4 linked regions of the Sus scrofa genome follow. The protein of the gene in region 2 purifies or fractionates together with the protein of the main gene of each other region. This does not show direct contact. Links are inferred from orthologs where the notes say so. Each region holds a gene or a part of one and is shown on either strand. Other genes may lie near its edges.

Evidence for each region. Proteins that work in one complex are often made in the same cells at the same time.
Region 1: the proteins of PRKAR2A (region 2) and AKAP8 purify together in Homo sapiens (affinity purification with western blotting; 3 studies listed by BioGRID and IntAct, with this or other methods). This does not show direct contact. The link is inferred for Sus scrofa from reciprocal best matches to the Homo sapiens genes PRKAR2A and AKAP8.
Region 3: the proteins of PRKAR2A (region 2) and AKAP9 purify together in Homo sapiens (affinity purification with western blotting; 3 studies listed by BioGRID, with this or other methods). This does not show direct contact. The link is inferred for Sus scrofa from reciprocal best matches to the Homo sapiens genes PRKAR2A and AKAP9.
Region 4: the proteins of PRKAR2A (region 2) and PRKACB purify together in Homo sapiens (affinity purification with mass spectrometry; 6 studies listed by BioGRID and IntAct, counting the BioPlex papers as one, with this or other methods). This does not show direct contact. The link is inferred for Sus scrofa from reciprocal best matches to the Homo sapiens genes PRKAR2A and PRKACB.

What each region holds. Positions count from the first base shown.
Region 1 is NC_010444.4:62,228,560-62,232,059, forward strand, and holds part of AKAP8 (A-kinase anchor protein 8), read left to right. Parts: intron 1-228; coding exon 229-275; intron 276-1,504; coding exon 1,505-1,538; intron 1,539-3,404; coding exon 3,405-3,492; intron 3,493-3,500. UniProt on the Homo sapiens protein: Anchoring protein that mediates the subcellular compartmentation of cAMP-dependent protein kinase (PKA type II).
Region 2 is NC_010455.5:31,514,206-31,518,458, forward strand, and holds the start of PRKAR2A (cAMP-dependent protein kinase type II-alpha regulatory subunit), read right to left. Parts: upstream 2,801-4,253; 5' UTR 2,800-2,800; coding exon 2,547-2,799; intron 1-2,546. UniProt on the Homo sapiens protein: Regulatory subunit of the cAMP-dependent protein kinases involved in cAMP signaling in cells. Type II regulatory chains mediate membrane association by binding to anchoring proteins, including the MAP2 kinase.
Region 3 is NC_010451.4:72,052,626-72,055,398, reverse strand, and holds the end of AKAP9 (A-kinase anchor protein 9), read right to left. Parts: intron 2,453-2,773; coding exon 2,313-2,452; coding exon of another isoform or gene 2,266-2,312; exon of another isoform or gene 1,048-2,265; coding exon 1,013-1,047; 3' UTR 501-1,012; downstream 1-500. UniProt on the Homo sapiens protein: Scaffolding protein that assembles several protein kinases and phosphatases on the centrosome and Golgi apparatus. Required to maintain the integrity of the Golgi apparatus. Required for microtubule nucleation at the cis-side of the Golgi apparatus.
Region 4 is NC_010448.4:129,545,196-129,548,695, reverse strand, and holds part of PRKACB (cAMP-dependent protein kinase catalytic subunit beta), read left to right. Parts: intron 1-1,098; coding exon 1,099-1,225; intron 1,226-2,139; coding exon 2,140-2,235; intron 2,236-3,500. UniProt on the Homo sapiens protein: Mediates cAMP-dependent signaling triggered by receptor binding to GPCRs.

The DNA of each region.
Region 1 (3,500 bases), on a different chromosome or scaffold from region 2:
TATAGGCCAGGGTGGGTATAAGATGAGTTAGCTGTATGCTTGGTGTTCTGTGGTCCTGTCTGGACATTGGACACAAGGGACCTCAAGGGGGGTCGGGTGCCATTTGCACTCCCACAAACCCTCTGCAGTCAGGACAAGCACAGTCATTCTAGACAGTGAGTTTGGGGGGTGAAAATGGAGTGGGCCAGTTGCCGAGGGGCTGACTTCCTATTTCTTTGTGTCTGGTAGATGATGGAGCTGGTGACTTCCGGTCAGGAGATGAAGAATTCAGGGGCGTAAGTTTGCCTTTACTGATCAACCTCTAGTGTCTCTTATGTGGGATTTTTTCCTTACTTCAGTGTTCTCCTCACAAAGAGGCAAGAACAGTTACTCTACTTCATGAGTAAATTTAATAATCAGGCTTGCAGCCAGGTTTCTAAGACTTTTCCACTTGCAACAGCCCTCCTTTTTCCTGAAAACATCCCCAACCTTCTCTCCAGCTATTCCTCTGTCCTTGTAGTGACACACCTAGCTGCACACTGGTAACTGTAGTGGTTGTGTGAGCTGAGGCTTTCAAACAGGCACTGAAAACTCAAGTGCTGCCAGTTCTGTGCTGGTGCTGAGCTGCATCCTTGTCATTCAGCTCTTAAAACTAGTCATAGGTCAGAGAGCCTGTTGTGGATCAGCAGTAGTGAACCCAACTAGTGTCCATGAGAATGGGTTCAATCCCTGGCTTCGCTCAGTGGTTTACGGAATCCAGTTTTGCTGTGGCTGTGGTGTAGGTCGCAGATGCAGCTTGGATCTTGTGTGGCTGTGGTGCTGGCCAGCAGCTCCAGCTCCAATTCAGCCCCTAGCCTGGGAACTTCCACATGCCACAGATGCAGCCCTAATAGGCAAAAAAAAACTAGTCATGGGAGATGGTTATCAAAGGCTGACTCTTAGCCAAGACCATATACAAGCATGTGGGGAGCAATCCTTTGCCACCCCCTGCAAATTCTGATTCAACTCTAAGGTAAGGCCTGGAAATCTGGGCATATGAAGGCTTTATCCACTTGCTTCTGATGTGTTTGGGGCAGGGAAGAGGGGAGCAGGATACAGTGAATTTTCAACTTTTCTGAGGGTCTTGCTTCCTTTCTGTCTAGGATTTCTTAGATTTTCGAGTCTGGGAATCTCTGCATATCTGTTGATGACTAATTTAATTCTCAACTTGATGTCTAAGGAGTGGCTTCAGTTTCAGTTTTCAGTTAGATGATTTTATCTGTAGCTGACTTGTTATAACTTTTGATAAATACAAATAAGTAGAAAAAAAGTAAGTTAGTCATTATCACAGAATCTCAGAAAGCAACCAGGAGTAATGACAGGACACGCAGGCTCCATCCCATGGCCCTAGGACTTGTCCTGGTACATTGTGGCTCTGTTCCTAGTGGCACAGTGACCACCTGGTGGTGGCAGGTAGCTAGGCCAGTTACGGAGAATTCTGGAAATTCCACCTCACAGTCCAACTTTGTATGTGCCCTTTTTTTAGGAGGACGAATTCTTCGACCCTGGGAAGCAGAGAGGTAGGCATCACCCAGCGTCCCTTTGAGCTTTCTTGTGTCTGCCCAGCTACCCTGCACTCGCTGCCTAACCCCCAGCTGGGCTGGGCTTCTGAGCAAGCCCAGGGCCTGGATGGAGGGGCTAGCAACTCAGGGCAAAAGAGGGGCCATGGCTACCAAGTGGGCCTTGGCCATGCCACTCACCCTGAGGTTTTGCCTCAGTGTTTGGACAACACTTGCTGGAAACAAATCTGGTTGCCTCACTCAGTGCAGGCTACAGAGACGGGGAAATTCATCTCTGGATGTCTGCAATAGTGGTAGGGAAGAGAGAGTTTCAGAAGTACAAGAAGGAAAAGAAAAAGCGCCCTCCAGCCTGTCTTCTCCGTTCCCTCCTTGGCCAGGGCAGGTCTGTGTGCTGTACACTGTGTACTGTTTCTCCTGGGCTTTATTCTGTCCATAGTTCTTACCAGACCAGAGCCATGCCCTCAGCCTCAATGAGGGGGACATGGGCACTGCGTGGGTCAGTTTGGACAGCTGCCTGGGTTGGGAGCTGGCGGTGGGGGAGGGGGGGCCTGTTTAGGCACATTCCAGCCCAGATCCTGCAGAGGCAGTCACTACTACATCAGGTCTTGCTAGTTTCAGTGCAAGTACAGAGCAATGTTAACCCGCCCCCGCCCAGGGGGAGCATGGAGAAGCGGCCACTTCTTTTCCTGTTCCTGTGGGTCCATCCATAGCTGGTTTCCCCCAAGAATCATAGGCTGGCTCCTTTGTGACTCTACTCCCATAAATTCCAAAGGCCTCTGGTTTAGATGTTCCTTTTTATATGTTCAGGTTTAGCCAACCCTCTGAGGCCCTCCTATCCTGTTTATTGACGTGATTATGTCTATAGCATGGGACCACACAGCATTTAGCAGCTCGTGCAGCAGGGTAAATGCTAAAGCAAAGGTGACATGTTTGTTGCGCGCAGGTCCTGCTACCTACCCGGGATGACTTTGCTTTAAACAGCAGTAATAGTTTCAGGCAGTGACCTCTTGCCAAAAATCCCACACGCCCTTTTGAGAGGCTTCTGAGCAGCGCACGCCGGTCGCCATCTTCGTGGGACAGTCTCGTGACTGGCATCAGGGGTAGGGGTTACAGTTCAGATGCTTATCCAACCTTTTTTCAGTGTCTGGCCCTGGCCTCAGGCTGGGACTCTGGGCTGCACAGCTCTCAGAAGAGCTCTTACACTGGCCCCATGGGATGGATGGAGGACCACTTGGTCTCTTCCCACTTTTGTTTTTGGGATTGTTTCCCATGTATCCCTGGGAAAGCCCTAGATTGATGGTTTTTGTGAGTGGAAGATAGAATTTGGGCCACCAGGGATTATCAGACCTGCTGAGGCCCTAGTTCAGAGGAGGCTGACGGGGCAATTATTATGGTCCACTGAGAGGTGGGACGGAGGGCGGTAAAGTGGCTTACTTTATTTCCTGAGGCCTTCCAACTGCTGCCTCTTTATCTGGGAAGAATTGCTTCTCTCTCTAAAGTAATGTTGGGAGAAGACCCAATGGTAGGGCGCTGGACTGGAAAAAGCAAGATAGGGAAGGACAGAGAGAGCAGGCAGGCCATGGTGTGAGTGGGATGGACAGGATGTGTCCCTGGCTCATCCCAGTCTTAGCAAGCCATGGGGGGAGTGAGGTGACTCCCTGGGGAACTACTGAGGATTCATCGCAAAGGCCCATCCCTGTTGGGAGCCTTTGACGCCCCTTGGTGCCTCAGGGTGTCTTGACCCTGCCACGTGTGGAAGCAGTGGCAGGGCATGGGGTATGGTGGCCAAACTAGCCCCCATCAAGGCCCTGGTGCTCAGCTCCTGTGAACTCCTCAGAGTGTCTCGAAGGGACTTCTCTGTTGCAGGAGAGAAGGATGATGAAGATGATGAAGTAAAGAAGAAGAGGGAAAAGCAAAGGAGAAGAGACAGGATGCGAGACCGAGCAGCTGACAGGTAAGGTG
Region 2 (4,253 bases):
CCACTGTGTGCAGTGTATTTTTAGTCTATTATCTGTAAATAGAAGTTCACTCTGTGTTGATTTCTATAATTATATTTAGTACAGCAACTTAAGAGATATAAACAAAAGAATATTTATATACCAATAAAATAAAGCACAGTTACAAAGATTTAAGCCAACTCAATTTTGAAAAAGATTAATTAAAGATGACACAGAATGAAGATATAACACAAAACTTGTAAACTCTGTTTTACTCATCCGGGACTAACAGAATATTTGTTCTGTGTAAATAAAAATTGTCACAAAGCAGATTATAGCTTTGTGTTGTATAGTTATGACAGTGAAACAAATGTAGGATTCACTCCTGAAACAAAGCTTTTAAAAACATATTTATCCCAGAAATTCCCTTGTGGTGTATCAGGTTAAGGATCCAGTTTTGCCACACATTTATGGTGCAAGTCACAACTGTGGCACGGGTTCAATCCCTGGCCTGGGAACCTCCACATGCCACAAATGTAGCCAAAAAGCAAAAACAAATAAAAAACCAATTTATCCCTAGGAAGTTGTTGTCACTGTACCTATTTTAAAGATAAGTGAATTTAAAATCAAACAGGTTCCGCAGCTTTGTCTTGGGCCACCAAACACTTCTGTGGCAGAGATCTGGTGGCAGAGTTGGAAAATAATTTCTGATTTCCAGGTTCAAGGTGAAAAACCCATAATTTAATGTGTATTAAGTCAGGGGAAACCCAGAAAAGCAATTTCCACACTTGGTATGAATAAACTTAGGAAAGCTGTCCAGAAACTGAAGCTTACAACCTCTAACAGCAATGACCAATAATTAACTCCCTGCCAGTCTGACTTGAATATGGATTCAATTCAGAACTAGGTTGTTGGGGTTTTTTTTCTCCAATATGATCTAGCAACACTAAGTCTCTAACTCTGTCCTGCAAATGTTTTCACTTTTTTGTTAAATTCTGGCTGTCCAAGACTCACACACATGGAGAACAGACTTCTGACTGTCTAGGGGAGGGAGAAGGGAGTGGAATGGGCTGGGAGTGTGGGGTTAATAGATGCCAGCTATTACATTTAGAATGGGTAGACAATAAAGTCCTATGTATAGCACAGAGAACTATATCCAGTCTAGGACAGACCATGGTGGAAAATAATATTAAAAGAATGTGTGTGTGTGTGTGTATATATATACATATATATGTGTGTATATATGTGTGTGTGTGTGTGTGTGTGTATGACTGAGTCACTTTGCTGTGCAGCAGAAATTGACACATTGTAAATCAACTATAATTAATTTTTTTTTTTTTTGTCTTTTTGCCTTTTCTAGGGCCGCTCCTGTGGCATGTGGAGGTTCCCAGGCTAGGGGTCTAATCGGAGCTGTAGCCACTGGCCTACACCAGAGCCACAGCAACGTGGGATCCAAGTCGAGTCTGCAAGCTACACCACAGCTCAGGGCAACACCAGATCCTTAACCCACTGAGCAAGGCCAGGGATCAAACCTGCAACCTCATGGTTCCTAGTCAGATTTGTCCACTGCGCCACAACGGGAACTCCTATAATTTAATTTTTTAAAATGAGTTCAAAAAATCTGGCTGTTCAAAAGTAGGGTAATTCTATTGTTAAGTTGACAAAGCCTATGTTGAAGCAACCAAGGAAAATGGAATTGCTTTCTGACAACCCTGCTTAAATATATATAGAAAGTGTTACTGTTCTCTTTCCTGCAACCCGTATGCTAAAAAAAGTTATTGTTTACCCTCATCAAATTTATTTGATCCAATTATCTTAGCCAAATTTATATATATATATAAATTATTATTATATTATTATGTGTGTGTGTGTATATATATATATATATAGATAGATAGATATTATATATATAGGGTTTTTTTTCTTTCCAGGATCCGTACTTTAAGAAATGCATACTCAAGGACCAAGGGTGAAATGCTGGAATTTGCTTTAAAATACTTCAGCAAAGAGGAAAAAAAAAATACAGCTGAAACATCTGTGACAGATCTTTCAACTGTGTAATGGGGGTGATGGCATATAGGGGGTTCATTTCACATTTTCTCTCTATTTTTGTATATGCTCGAAGTTTTTCACAATAACTTCACAAAATGAATTCTTTCCAGACAAAGTTACCTTCCTGGCTATGAAATATGAGTCAGTGGATGTGAATGTTCTTGTCTTCGGAACGAAAGTGGGCGAAGGGTCTCCAGCAGAGGCCAAGCAGCCGTGGGCTCCACGCCCCTCCGGCCCCGCGCCAGCATGCGGGCCGAAAGCGCGCACGTTTCTCTTGAGCTGAATCTGACAACTCCCACTCCGTGCGCTCTACGGCTCGCAGGACTGCCGAGCTCAATTTGGAAGTGGCACACGCGGGGATCAAGCCCGCCGTTCGGGAACCCAGACAAACTCCGCTCGAGAGCTTCAAGGTCCCGGGCCCAGGGTTGCAGGCCTAGCCCCCGAAGCCCCCTCTGGAACTCCTAGAGACCCCTACCCGACCCGCCACTGCTCCTTCGACCCCCCCACCGCGACCCCTGGCCCAGCCTGCCTCCTACCGTCCAAGTCCTCGTCGTCCTCCGACTCGCTGTCCGCGATCGCGTCGGTGACAAGGCCAGAGCTGGGCTCTAGATCCTGGGAGCCGGAAGGAGGGGCGGCGGGTGGGGTGGAGGCTCGGGAGCGGGCCTCGCGCAGGCGGGTGAAGTAGTCCACCGCGAAGTCGACCAGGTCGGGTGGCTGCCGCCGCAGCACCTCCACGGTGTAGCCCTGCAGCAGCTCCGTGAGCCCAGGCGGGATCTGGATGTGGCTCATGCCGGCGGCGGCCGCGAGGACAGGCAGGACCCGGCCGCCGGCAGCCACTGTCTGGGCGCTCCCTCACGCCGGCCTCCCGCCCGGCACCCGCGAGGTCTCCTCACGCGCGACCTGGGCTGGGCCCCCCTCGCGCCAGGTCGCCCTTTGGCCGGGTGTGCGTTTCCGGGTCACGCCACCCTACGCTACTCCGGCCGGCCTGGTACCGCCGCCGCTGTCACTGGGCAGCCGCCGCCGTAGCCGCGGGTACCGACAGGCGGGCAAGCGGGACGGGCGGGGCAGGAGCCCGGGTTGTGACGCACGCTGCCGCGGGCGTGCGCGCTCCCGCCAGCGCTCTGGCCCTCAGTGCGCGTGCGCCAATAGCCCACCGGGCCTGCCGGGCAGTCTCTCCGCAAGGCGCAGCAATTAATGGTTTTCCCGTTAAGCGGGTCCATTGGCGCCGCTTATTTTTAATTTCTACTTTCAACACACCCTAGGATCCTCCCGTTTGCTAGCCCTTACTAAGTGCCAGGGACATAACCGAGAGTCAACGTAAAAATGCACATTACCACCTCAGAGTGGTTCCAGCTATAGTGCAGAGCAAGAGGGCCCACATTAGGGGATGGCATTTAAGCTGGCTCAGAGGCCTGGGCAGGATCTGGCCATAGGAGCATCTGAAGAAAAGCCATGTGGCCTAGAGGGCAGTAAGTGCAAAGACCTGGTAAAGTCAGAACCACCCAGACCTCAGGGTGGAATAGTGGCATGACCATAGGCCCCTCAGAAGTCTTGGCAGGAAGACTGTGAGATGTCAAAGGGAGAAGACCTTGTAGATAGGAGGAGTTTCAGTGATATAGTAATTTTGGAGCCAAAGGCAGATAAATAAGCCTGGAAGAGCTCAGAAGGTCAAACATGTTCCTTGAGAAAAGGGAATAAGACCCAGAGCAGGAGAGAAGGATCGAGATGGCAGAGGAGTTAAGATGTCTCCCTCACCTTCTCCCACAAAAGAAAGTTGTTTTTTGACAACTCCCACTCCATGTGCTCTACGGCTTGCAGGACCGCAGAGCTCAACTTGGAAGTGGCACACGCATCAAAAAAACAAAACTACACATAGAACAATTCGCACAGAACATCTATTGAACACTGGCAGAAGAACTTAAGCCTCCAAAAAAGGGCAAGAAACCCTCCACAAAACTGGGTAGAACAACAACAACAACAAAAATCAGAGAGAGCAAGAGAGAAAGAGAAAGTCCCAGAGCAGGAATGACCACTGTGCCTTTTTCTCCTCTTGAGCAATACAATCAGGATTCCCAGGACTAGGTCTGGATATCTCTTCTATCCCTATATTCCACCCTGGGCCAGCAGTACTTTAATGGTGTTGAGCAGACCACAAGGCACAGATATCCTTTGCCCCTGGGGAGAGGGCATAGGTGAAACTGGAGAAGCCATGCTATTTCCCAAGTTGCCCCTTCATGCACACC
Region 3 (2,773 bases), on a different chromosome or scaffold from region 2:
GCCATGTGAGGACAGAGCAGGAAGACGGCAGTTAGGAAGTCAGAAAGCAGGCTCTCTCCAGACATCAAATTTGCTGTGTTTTGATTTTGGATTTCCCTAGCCTCCAAAACAGTGAGAAATCTCTGCTGTTTTTGTAAGCCACCCGGGCTATGGTATTTTGTTATGGTGACCTGAACAGACTAATAAGACATGCACCATGAACTGTGGCTTAAAAATGAAGGTTCAGGAGTTTCCATTATGGCACACTGGAAACAAACCTGACTAGTATCCATGAGGATGTGGGATTGATCCTTGACCTTGTTCAGTGGGTTAAGGATCCAGCCGTTGCTATGAGCTGTGGTGTAGGTGGCAGACGCAGCTCAGATCTGGTGTTGCTGTGGCTGTGGTGCAGGCCAGCAGCTGTAGCTCTGATTCAGCCCCTAGCCTGGGAACTTACATATGCTGTGGGTGTGGCCCTAAAAACCAAAAAAATGAAAACAAAAAAAGGTTCAAATACAGTGTAGTTAAAATGGTGAAGTCATTTTTATTTCAGTACTTGACAAAATACCCCATAAAATCCAAAACTTCTACCATTATACAAAAATAGGTCTCTACAAGTGATATTATCTGTCTTTATCACCAGTAGCAAATATATTAGGCAGTAACATGTAACTTCAGTAGCCTTATAAGAAAAGTGCAGGACACCTCGAGCTACACATTCAACAGTATCATAATGCGCAAAAGTTTAATCTTTTCACCCATTTGATAAATACACAAGGTTTATAATTTAATCATTTAAATTAGCATTCCACAAATATACATGTAATTTGATGATTATTGTGCATGAATACATACACAATGCTTATATGTACAGAATCCAGTTTGTTTTCATGTGCTGGCAAGGGATTTGTATACAATCATAAGCTGTGTTTGTATTGGTCCCGGTGAATATCCACAATACAAAAGCACAAAAGAACCATTGATTTACAAAAGGGAATTTGTTTAAAATCACTTTGATTCATGTTTCAAAGGATTATCTTCTCATGCCAGCATGAAACTGAGTTGAACCTGTAACATAGAAATAGGATACTTCAGTGATTTCAATGAGATTGTGACTTAAATCAGACTAACCAGTTCATAAAGGGCAGAAGAGGGACCTTGTGGCGCAATGGTAGCGCGTCTGACTCCATGAAGGGCAGAAGGAGGCACCATTTTTAAAAACTTTTTTCTGCCTAAAATAATCTTATTCAGAATTGAACTGATTTTTAAAAGAGACTCTTTTTTGTGTGTGTCTTTTTTTAGGGCATATGGAGATTCCTAGGCTAGGGGTGGAATCAGAGCTGTAGCAGCTGGCTTACACAATAGGAGACCTTGAACATATATTCAAAACTCACCGTGGCTGGCTCCAGGGCATGCTAAGTGAGATTAATGATAAGATTCTCTGTAAAGTGCCCTGCAGGTTGAATGTTCTATACCTCTTGCCTCTTGAAATACCTCTTGGTCTTAAAAATCTGGGTCTTGTGAAATATAAATGCTCAGGCCAACCAAGTCCTGCTATGATAATTGCTTCCTACAACTATAAGTTGCTTGGGTTAGACAATTTCTTATATGAAGAGGCAAACTACTAATTTAAAATAACTGGCTATTAGTCCTATCTATTTTGTGGGAATAGTAGGAAAAAAGGGTCTTTAATAAAAGGAAAATATACATATACACATACATACATATAAACTGACTTAAAGCTCATTAAATTAAAATGATTCAAGACCATTGAATCAGGAGTGAATTGAGAGACAGAGAAGAGAGGTTTTTTCCCACAATAAAAAGGGAAGGGATTCCACATTTACTAAGTACAAAAAAATTTTTGTGTGGTTTTCTTTCCCCCTCCCTTTTCCTGTTTTTTTTTGTTTTTAGCAGAGACAATAAAAGGTCATTCTTGCACAGTCCTTTGAATAGGATGGGTTTCTTGGATCACATATAAAAAGCACTTGCTTCCTCCTCTCATCTCCCCAGCTCTTATTTGGATGCCTCAGCATGTATCACTTGGCAGCAAATTCTCCAGCAGAAACTCTGTGTGTCTCAGAGTACTTTGTACATAGATGCTCATCATGTACTTCACCTAATCAATTGTCTTAATGAGATAAGCAGGAGAGTGGGATCCAGGGTGATAAATCAAGTTTTGGCTTAAATTCCTAAATCTAGCTTGGTAACTCATACTCAAGTTTAAGATTTGATTGTCCTAATGAGGAAGGTCAAGGAATTTCAAGAAAAGAAAGAGTTCTGGGTCTATCTAGCACCATGGTGCTGCCAGTACTTGGTTAAGCTGAGGGTACCTGACTGTACAGTTCCAAGCCGTCTCTGTAGCGCCTCTAGCCGAGTGATATAATCTGTCAGGGCTCTGTCAGGATCATAATTCTGAAGCTGAGAGCATGCTAAAGAACTGGGATTTAAATCAGCTGGAGTGCCTGGGTACCTATGAGATAAAAAATACGAACATGAATCCAAACTATCCAAAAACAATGCAAGCAATGTGCCAGTCGAGCTCCACCTTGCCTTCAAAAGGTAGACCACTGGTACTCTGCCTCATCTATATCCCTCATATGTCTGAGTTTGCCATGTATAAAGGAAAAAAACTCCTCAATAAATTCGAAGCAGATACTAAGTCATCAAAAGAATGTCCAGCACACTGCCTGTTGCCAAGGCCATCAATAAATGTTGCAAACATATAAATGCACCTTATGCAAACTTTAGAGTTTTTTTTCATAATTCTGGAAACTACCAATTTTAGTCAATG
Region 4 (3,500 bases), on a different chromosome or scaffold from region 2:
TGGGATGGGGCTGGAACTGAAAGGGTATTATAAAATATTGCCACAAAAGAAGTGTGTTTCTTCACATTATTCATTCAGCAGATATTTGCTAAGCACTTGGTATATATCAGGATGTGACCTTGGAAATACAGTGAATGACAAGCAAAAGGAACAGCATATACAGTCTTTTTTTAGAATTCCTATTTCTGCTGCTACCAGATCACACTCATGCCAACCATCTTGAGGGAAATTCTATTCATAGTTGAAGTTGTTCACTGAGGACACAAATCTGAAAGTCATTGCATTTGATCAGGGAGATTAACAGAATTCAGTGTATACAATAGAAGATGAACTAGAAACACACTAGAAAATCAGTACATCCTTTTGGAGTAATACTCAGAATATGGCATCAAAATTACACTAATCCATCAGTTAGTTGAATCTATGCATCAAGAACTGTGTGTATTTACACAAATAAACAGATTATTCCTGTGTTTTAGCAAACATGCATAGTAAAAGATTTGGAAATTCAGATACCAAGATTGAATCTGTGGTTTCTGAATGAGATTATTGGTATCCTTATTCTTCATTAATTTTTTTTTTCCTATAATGAGCATGTATCACTTTTGTAATGGGAACAGCCTGGGTAAAAATGGCATAAATCTGCAGATTAATGCAGTTAGAGATTTCTGTGAAATGAAATTCTTTAAGTATTTGAAATGTATGAGAAAGGTAGGTAGATGGAACCTATCAACAGCAGCAATGGCCTGACAGTCTAACTGGTACTTTTCAATCATTCTCAAGGTCAGATATAATTATAAAGACACCAGTAACTTCTAATATGGTCAGCAATAATTGAAAATACAGTGAAAATCTGAGAGTTACATTTTTCAACATTTGCTGTCTACTAAGCAGATCAAAGTATTATTTAAAGATGATTTATAGATTTAATAAATATTTGGAAACTAACGAGATTCTTGACATGTTTAAAAGGAAAAAAAAAAAAAAAACAAGTTTTGCTCCCAAAACACTATTACCTCATGTTATTTTTTTGTATAATCTACTAACTGCTATATGTTAAACCATTTTACCAAAAGTCAATGTTTTTTTTCTTTATAGTGAACCCCATGCACGGTTCTATGCAGCTCAGATAGTGCTAACATTCGAGTACCTCCATTCACTAGACCTCATCTACAGAGATCTAAAACCTGAAAATCTCTTAATTGACCACCAAGGTTATATCCAGGTATGACGTGAACACATTATGTATAATGTATTTGAGAAAATACTAGGTAATAAGTTGTCTGTATTTAACCACACCTACCAATACTGGATTTTTTTTTTTCCCCTTTGGGGTAGACAGTTCTTCCTAATAGCTTAAATCTAGCTCATAGTTCTGTCACTATTACAGAAAACTAAGAGTTCCATTGAAGATAAAATCTGTTTTTATCCCCCAGATTCTATAGCTGTGAGCTGAGCACAGGCTCCTGCCTAAAGAAGTAATAGCTAAATTTGTGAGTACTCATTTAGTGCCAGGCATTATTTTAAGTGTCTTACTTACATCATCTCTATTAATTCTGATAAGACAATGAAGTATAACTACTACTATTATCTTCATTTTAAGGTTAATGAAATTAGGGCACAGCAAGGAAACACAGGTAGAGTTAGAATTTGAACCCAGACAGTGTGTCTCAAGAATCCGTGCTTTGTAAAGCTATGGTACAGCTGCCAAAGGAACCCCAGCTACCAATATTGAACTGGTAGCAGTGTTTTTCTTTCCATTTCTGCTGTTAATAGAATGGCACTCCTTTTTACACAGTTATCAATAGATTCTCCCAATGATGCTTTTGCACTTCTGATGCTGTATTTAACGGCAGAGGACATGCTAGACTTAAGGAACACTCCTATCATTGCTTCATTTTTATTAAAACCTTTTTTTTTTTTTTTTGGTTCATTTGTTTCTTTCTTTGAGTCAAGAAGGTTAAAGTATAGGTTGCTTTAACACTTCATTCACTAAATAGTGGCCTTCTTGGACTAGTCTCAGTTGCTCTGACTTAATTTTTTTTCATAGTATTAAGTTTAACACTGATTTTTAACTTTCAACTTAGGTACAGTAAATAATAAATGTTCACAAGTATTTGGGTTTTTTTTCTTTTATAGGTCACAGACTTTGGGTTTGCCAAAAGAGTTAAAGGCAGAACCTGGACATTATGTGGCACTCCAGAATATTTGGCTCCAGAAATAATTCTCAGCAAGGTATATTTATAATGTTGTTATGTAAGAAGTAGAAATATAAGGCATATGCTATCCAGTATTCTATGATGGTCTATGTGGGGAAAGAATCTGGAAAAGGATGGGTGTGTGTATATGTATAACTGAATCACTTTGTTGTACAGCATAAATTACCATAATATTGTAAATCAACTATACTTAAGAAAACGAAAAAAGAAAAAATAAATATAAGGCATGCATCACTGTGGATTTTTATTTTAAAAAACAGTTTACTGATCAAATTTTATGTTTATTTAATCTAAATTATGAATTTTATCTGTGCATAATTACTAAAAAGTAATTATTTAGAGTCTACCACTAATCCTAGAAGCTGTCAGTTTTAACTCTGGATCTGAGAGAATTAGTAGGACTAAATCTGACCTCTAGATCCATGTTTTGAAGCCAAAAGCATAGCCTTTTCATAATTACTTCTAATAAGAAGAGGGGAGGGAAGCCTTGCTCTGCATTATATACACCAAGAGGCAAACTAAAGATAACGTGTACTAGTTGTCACTTCTTCCTTTGTTTCAACTTTACCACTTAAATGAAAGAACTATATGTGAATTATTTTTTTAAACTTTAGTTTAAAAATAGTATTATAGCAAATGAATATAATCTTAAGACAGTTCTACTTTTCTAAACAGAGAAAATGTGATGAGAAATTTTTAATCATATCTGAAATGATGTTTTAACCTCTGTTTTCCTTTCTTCTGCCATCCTTTGGTGGAGAAAGCCAGAAAAGAAAAACTGATAATTGGGCATAGACAGGAACCAGGAAAGAGAAAGAGAACCTGCCTCAATACTTAGACACTCAATAACTACCTTCTGAATAATTCAAATTTGGCTAACCTATAGAAGTGTTAGAATAAAATAAAAGAATTATTTCAGCTTTATTCTCATTATCTTTCATGATTTAAATCATCTATAACTATACTCTGGTTTCTCTCCAGATCATATAAATCTTTCACCTTTTTAAATCATCTATAACTTTGTCTTTTATAATCTAAATTTCATTGCTAATAACATATTTCTTCTTCAAGTGCATTTAACAAATAAGGTGTTTGTCATAAGCACCAAAACTTTAAAAAATGTGTTTATATGTATGAAGAAATATTCATTGTATGGAATCAGGAAAATACAGAAAAATAAAAATAATCAAGAAAGCTATAGTCTCACCACCCAGAGGTAGCCTTTTTAAAAACATCTTAATATATTTTCTTATGCATGTTATATCGAATGTACAATTTTGT